Linked DNA regions of Neodiprion lecontei. The protein of the gene in region 1 binds, or shares a complex with, the protein of each later gene. Links are inferred from orthologs where the notes say so. Each region holds a gene or a part of one and is shown in the gene's direction. Other genes may lie near its edges.

Evidence for each region.
Region 2: probable signal peptidase complex subunit 2 (region 1) and signal peptidase complex subunit 1 share a complex: the UniProt entries of both Caenorhabditis elegans proteins name them as parts of the signal peptidase complex. The link is inferred for Neodiprion lecontei from reciprocal best matches to the Caenorhabditis elegans genes spcs-2 and spcs-1.

The regions. Positions count from the first base shown.
Region 1 is NC_060264.1:23,008,166-23,011,898, forward strand, and holds probable signal peptidase complex subunit 2, read left to right. Parts: upstream 1-1,652; 5' UTR 1,653-1,783; coding exon 1,784-1,828; intron 1,829-2,078; coding exon 2,079-2,383; intron 2,384-2,469; coding exon 2,470-2,713; 3' UTR 2,714-2,915; downstream 2,916-3,733. Other genes in the region: structural maintenance of chromosomes protein 3, read right to left, coding at 3,670-3,733. UniProt on the Caenorhabditis elegans protein: Component of the signal peptidase complex (SPC) which catalyzes the cleavage of N-terminal signal sequences from nascent proteins as they are translocated into the lumen of the endoplasmic reticulum.
Region 2 is NC_060263.1:14,753,442-14,757,040, forward strand, and holds signal peptidase complex subunit 1, read left to right. Parts: upstream 1-2,100; 5' UTR 2,101-2,228; coding exon 2,229-2,261; intron 2,262-2,595; coding exon 2,596-2,655; intron 2,656-2,736; coding exon 2,737-2,919; 3' UTR 2,920-3,016; downstream 3,017-3,599. Other genes in the region: ubiquitin carboxyl-terminal hydrolase MINDY-3 homolog, read right to left, coding at 1-218, 340-608, 703-1,114, 1,376-1,478. UniProt on the Caenorhabditis elegans protein: Component of the signal peptidase complex (SPC) which catalyzes the cleavage of N-terminal signal sequences from nascent proteins as they are translocated into the lumen of the endoplasmic reticulum. Dispensable for SPC enzymatic activity.

The DNA.
Region 1 (3,733 bases):
CTAAATTCTTTTAAGATGCCGAAGTTACCTCTGAGGATCAGTCGATAGAACAAAAAATCTACAAATAAAAAAATTCACGAATTACAGACTGATTTAAATAGGTTAAGGTATCTTTGGGCAGTTGCAACAAGTATGTGTTGGATTTTATGGAGCAAACGGAAGCAGAAAATGAACTGTACTATGTGCTGTGACGTCAGGATCTTGACAAACAGTTGAAAACTGAATGTACGTACAAAGCAAGATAATAGAGACGGGCAGAGAGGAAATTAAGAAGTGACGACAATGACAATGATGACCAGAAAATGACAATGATCATAATGACGTTTTAAAGATGCACGTTTGATTTTTAGATAAATAAAAGGAGAACGTAAGATGTCATAAAACCTGTGCAAAGTGCTCAAAATCAGCGGACGTATCGACAAAATCTGAAAAAAAAAGCGTCATGACCAAAAAAAAGTGTTACACACGTTGGCGAAAAGTGGTGAGATCGTGTTTTGTTTGATGATACACTGACGCGACGAGGATTTAAGATCGACAAATAACGTCGCTCACCCGAAATCAGCACCTCGCCGTCGTCATCGGGACGATTTGATGGGGCCCATTAGCCGATTGAAGAGACCTAGGTGTCCTCACTAGCCTTCCATGACTCGATCTCCTCGGAACGGAGGAAGCGACAGTCGGGACTCTGTCTGGCAGCTTCGCTAACACGGCATAGATTGACAGATGAATTAACGCTTGGAGGATGAGAACGGACCTGCCTCTGTTTCATGCTTACATATTTCTTATTTCTATTCAGCTTCTCAAGCTATTGCACGTATGAATGCATACATGTTCGTACATACCTGCGTACGTTTCGAAATCCGGGTAAATTGGGGAGGAGGAGAGGAAAACTGGAGTTTGCGATTGAACGATGCTCAGAGCTCTCGAATCTGTGAATGTTTTTACCGGTCCAATCTTCGGAGCGACGATGGCGATTTAGGATGGATGAAATTAAGACACCCGAATCTCCCTATTTACGTCTCTCAGCGACTGGCCTCCTGTGTTCTTTCCATATACCGTTCTCCTTTTACCGTCGTCCACCGCGCTCTTTGCTTGTTGTCGCGACTGGATAGTGGTAGATCTATGGATGGAGTTGCGATCACAGATGCATACCATGCCCGATACGATGTTGCGAACCGTGCGTATAGCAATACAGACTTTTTGCCGTCCTCCGTGAACGCAGGTATAGTTGCCGTTCTGTTGCTGTAGTTGTTTCGGTTGTTTCAATGCCGGATCCTCAATCCTCATCCTTGAATAATGAGAAACACAGAGATGGTTCAACCGCATAGACTCTGGTGTAAGAAGACAAGTATGTTCCAGGCGTGTTCTTCCAGCAGAGACACACCTTACCTTTATACATCAGTCAACGTTTATGGCCGTGTTCGAAAATTGACTGACAGTACTGTCAGCAATCTTTCATCTCTTTTGCGCTTCCAAGTTCGTGGATAGCTCTGACTCTGTCCTAGGGAATTTTCAGTACTGTCAGTCAATTTACGAACACGGCCTATGTATATCATGGACTCTCTATCAACTCTGTAAGTCACTGGTCTCGATATCTAACTGTGATATCAGTATTTATACCTCGCGTTTCATCTCTATATACAAGTCTAATATTCCGTGGGTAAAGAAAGAAAAAGGTAGCGGCACCTGAGCGCCGTGCAGAGAAGAGGTTATAAAAATCATTGGTGACGTGCCGTATCCGAGTAGGATAAGCATCTACATCGGCAAAACATCATTGTTCAACATGTTCGAAATGGCTGGTAAAAAAGACCAGAAGGACGAAACTGCAGTGAGTATTGAGAATAGAAGGGACAGAGCCACTTTTGGTCGAAAATCTATTTGATCACAGGTTAAATACGACCAGCAATATGGTGATGGTAAATCACAGAAACGGAACACTTGACGTGGTGCAGAGTTGGTTTGATCAGTAACTCGTTCAACGTCTCGAAGGATTCACCCAAAACCTTAATTTACTCGTAATATTCATACAATTTCAAGTGAAAAATTTCCAACTTACGTATCACACATTCTCCTTTCAGCTGATCAAAGTCAACAAGTGGGATGGTTCTGCAGTGAAGAATGCTCTGGACGATGCAGTCAAGGATATACTGACCAGAAAGTACAATTACGTGGAGAATTTCTCGCTACTTGACGGTAGATTGGCATTGTGCGGCATCGCCGTCGGGGTTGCAATGGTTGCTCTTCTCTGGGACTACATGAATCCGTTCCCAGCATCCAAGCCTGTGCTAATTGCCTGCGTGTCGAAGTATTTTGTCGTTATGGGGGTGCTGACATTATACACAACGTACAAGGAAAAGGGGATATTTGTGGTAGCAACTCAAAGGTAGAGAAAGATGAATGATCTCCAGAAAATTAGCAAGCTATGAATTGCACAGGTTTAATTTCTCTCTCTCAATTCGGTTGTTGTAGAGACCCGGCTGGATTCGATCCAGAATTGGTGTGGGAGGCGAGTTCATACCTGAAAAAATATGATGACAAATACAATTTGGTACTTTCGGTAAGGGATGAAAAAGCCGGAACGTCCAACGAGGCTTCAGTCACGAATTCCGTGGCCAAATTCATAGACAGCAACGGCGTTATCATTCCAGAACTGGTTGAAACCATGGTCAGTAACTTGCATGATAGTCTGACTGCCAGTCGCAAGGACAAATAAATTTGGTGATAAGTAAGAAATAGAAACAGTCTGGTTCGAGTATAAGACTTTTTTTCTACTTTCTTAAATATGTTTATGTATGTACCTATTTATTAATACTGGCGGCGGAAAGAATCTCTCTTCCTCGCGCGTTCCGTTTTCACTATTTTAACGTAGTTATTCCAAGTAATTTTTTGTTGAATATAATTTAATTGAAACTTTGGTTGAATAGAAACCAACCGTCTTTCAGTCCTCAAAAATAAAAACGCAGAGACAAATTGGTCTCGAGAATGTTTCCATAAAGACCGTGAAAACTACTCTTTGATAAAATCTTAAAATTATAGCAAATTTTGTAAATTAGAATAAATGTAATTGAACTTGGTTATTTCATTTCTTCTAAATTACAGATAAACGAGATAATGAAATAAAGATGTGGTTCTTTATTTCATCCCAATAATGATCGTCTGAGATTTTCGAAGAATGAAAATCTAATCACTGTATTGTTCAGAGTATAAGACGACCCCCAATTTTGAGATAGTATCTTAGAGTGTTTGCCACAGTTACCCGCTCATAAAACGTGTGTAAGACTAGGACAATTTTGGCGAGTGCTCTCAACCATAAAAAAACCTCGGCTTATATTCAGAACAATACAGTATTTCCATTTGTTTCATATCATCGAAATGCACAAAGGTGAATTTCTTTTTCTTCATTTTTTTTTCTATTTTCATCTGTATATAGTATAAGTAAATAGATCAATTACAAAAGTATAGATCACGATACGAATCGCTAAGCATCTGAATTCCACCATAGAAAAAAAAAAAAGAAATAATCTGTATGATGTGGTATGTATGTATACATCAAATCATGATTTATAATTACTCAATTGTTGCAACGGAATATGTATGTACATGCATACATATACCAGCGTTTGATTTTATATAGTTTACAAATGATCCTAGTGTTTTATGCAGTTTGATTCAACCGTGCGTTGTGTCATCCTCGACAAAATCGGCCGCCTCTTCTCTCGATACGCACTCGACG
Region 2 (3,599 bases), on another chromosome or scaffold:
GTCAAACTTCTTGAATACCCTCCGAGCCTGATCCGCAGGTGTTTCAGGACTCACCAGCCTTCTTTCAGAGGAAAATAGTACAGTTAGATGTGTATCAGAACCAAGAACCCATATCGGATGCGAAGGGGCCTTTAGAAATGTTCCAACTTCGCAATATCTCAGGTGCTCTAAAAAGGCTAAAAAACCAACCGAGTTCTGCTTGTCTATACCTTGAAGTTCTGAAATCAGAAATGAAGATGATGCTTTAATTGATTGAATTGCGATAAAGGACAGATTTTTTCATTTTCTTATTTCTCACAACTCAATCACAAGTCATGGAATAGGTTGTTTGAAACTAACTAAGCCCTCCAACATCTTGATCATGGTCCCATACGTGGCTGACCGCGCGCCCAGTAAGCATTAAGTTGATCAAACTTTGACTGCCGTAGCCGTAAGTCGAGTCTATGAGTGGCTCCATGGGGTCAGACATTTCTGATTGCATTCCTGCAAGACCTTTCGTACAAACTACCGTGTATAGGAATAATAAAATGCCAAACTGATTTTTCATCATATCAATTTGGTCAGTGAAGTATTTTTTCAACTCATCCATATTATCAATCGTGAATATCCTGAAAAAAAATTTTGAGTGTCGTTATTAAATCACACGACACCTGATATCGTCATTATTTGGTATTGTTCAAACACGTAAGTCTGAATACTCACCTCAATTGCGAATGAAAAATGTCGGGTTCTAGCTCCAGTCTATTTTCCATTGAGTTTGTTGTCTCCTGGTGGTGTTGGTCATTCTTCTTATTTTCCTCAGGAGATTTCAGGTCTGGTACCTTGTTCGAAATGTTTTCACAATTCATAGATGTCGTGCCGTACCCTTGCGGTCCCATTGTTCGAACTATACAGTATCTAGGTTGCAGGCTGTCCGCGGCACGTGCTACTATTTCCGTCATTGCCTTTACCAGCAAGAAGTTACACTGTTCGGTTCCGACCTCTTTCCAACTAGTGATATCGCTTTCTAGTAGTAATTCTTTCAGTATAAAAGCTTGAACTGGTGCTATCACTGCACACGGACCTCCCTCTGCTTGGACCAGAGCTGTCGGCTCGTCATTGCTAAAAAAAAATCCTGTAAAACAAATTGTTGGTTCTGAGATGTTGATTGTGTTGTTTCTTAGCTTTTTTTTTTATACCGCTTCCTTTAGTTATTCACAGTAAAGAAAAGAATCTGATCTTGCTACATATGGAAAAGGTGTGTTAAAATCAAATGAAGCTAATTTTTTTTCGCATTTTATAATTCAACCGTCTAGGGGAAAAGTACGATAAAAAAAAAATACAGCAAGGGTGATGTTGAAAGACATGATGTGAGAGGTGAGATTATTTATCTAACCTTGAGACCACTGTTTGAAGACGTCGTATTTGACAGAAGGACCCCATAGCAGTGTTTTAATTTCTTGTACGAGGTCTGTGTCGTTAGCTAAATTACCAGCCATTATAAGTATTTTCAAAAGAAAATCGCTCCTTTCATACAGTAAAAATTGTAGTCCTTGTCGTCGTCGTCGTCGTCGCAGTCGTCGTCGTATACGTGTGTTATATGGCCAGAATTATATACGACATACTATTGCGATTGAGACAATAATAGTTTATTCAAATAAATAATACCTTCGAAAGGACTATACTCTTAATAACCTATATTTCACGTTCGACAGTTGCCAAGGGTGTCGCCATTGTGATTAACCATTCGGCGAATGAGCGGAGAGACCCTTCTTTCACAGCTATTATTATTCTTCTCATCCCCGATTCGTTATTTACACCAAGGTTTACGCGTAAAACGTATACAAAAAAAAGTACATAAAATACACACCACGAGTTTCGCACTTTGTAATATTGTCATTCGCAACGCATAATTTCGGAAAAGTATTGTCACAAACGTTACGATATCGGCGAATAAAAAAAAATTAGTTTCAAATTCGAACTATTCGATGAGGTTCTTTCAACTGCCGCAGGCGAGTTTAAATTTTTGTCCAAAAATATTGAAATTTTCCTTCGAGTTTTGTCACCTACATCGTTATTATCACTGATCTACACCCAATACAGTTTACATCGGCTGTACTTTCTATAACATTTCGTAAGTTTGTGATTTACTTCAGGTAAGAACTGTGTGCAACGTCACATGCGGGTCACCATCTGTGGGTTTTAAATATTAGTGAAGGGGCAGTAAATTATTGTATAATTCTATAAAAATGGATTTCTTTGACTCCCTGCCAACACACATGGTACGTTTCTCACCTCGTAATTGACTTAGACTGTTAAAATCAAACGTATAGAATATCTCATATATGCAGTAGTTCATAACCTCCCAGAAAGCTTCAATATCAAATTAAACTGATAATCACTTGAAATTTGGCTCTTTCCCGTCGACTTCACGATATTTCTATTATATGCTTATACCAAAGAAGTTATTCAGAAAATCCTAAGCTCTTCTTTATCAGTGGTTCGATGGAGGATGATTCAGTTTCTCATTACAGCGTTAATTTTGCTGATCTTCCCTTCTGGGCCAGTATAATTAGCCGTAATTAACTATGTGTGTATCTTTTTGACTTTTTAAAGGACTATGACGGGCAAGCCAGGGCAGAAAAACTCTCCAGGGTAATTGTCACATTGTTTGGAGTAAGTTGATTTATTAAATTCATATTTTATTGTATAACTGAAATTGCTGAATAGTCAATATATTAATGTTTGTTTTTCCAGGTGGTTGGGCTTGTTTGGGGTTATGCAATACAGCAATTTTCCCAAACTATTTACATTTTGGGGGCAGGTTTTGTTTTGGCTGGCATAGTCACGATTCCGCCATGGCCAATGTATCGTCGCAAGCCTCTAGACTGGCAGAAGCCTCAACCTGAAGTGCCAACAAAGTTTAAGAAGAAGAAATAAATTCCTGCATTAAATTCTGACTAAATATTCTTATTCCTGATCCATATATACAATATGATATAACCTAAATATGGAATCTCGTATTCTTCAATTTAAACCATTGTAATTATTCAAATTACCTTGCAGCAAAGATTTCAGGTGCACTACACATGACTTCTATAAATTCAATCGTGTAATTCAAATTTGTTTCAAGGATGCTAGACTTTGAATGTTATTCATCGAAAATTTTGAGAATTTGAATTAATCGTTCCCGAATAGTTAGATAGTTTGTCAATGACGTCGAGGAAAATTAACCGGCAGACTACAAGGTTTCGGTACTACTAATTTTGTTACCCAATGGCCGCAAACAGTCACTGGGTTTGTTTTTTTCCGTTTAATGTTTCAAATTGATCTATTTAGTAGATACATAGGAACTCTACGCTATATGCGCAGGGATCGTATGTACGATAAAAAAATCTTAGAGACGGTTCACGATTAATTGCAGCTGCGTTAATTTTGAGTAACTAAATAATTTGTTGGAAAGTCGAAGGGAAGTTTGGGCTTTAACCTAAACGTTTCAAATGTCAACCACAAATGACGCATACCTTTCATTCTGATATACCTCATCGTGATAAAAATAGTCGTTGCTTCGGCGTTGCAAGCAAATGCAATAAACGAAGTCAGTAAAGTTTTATGCGGTG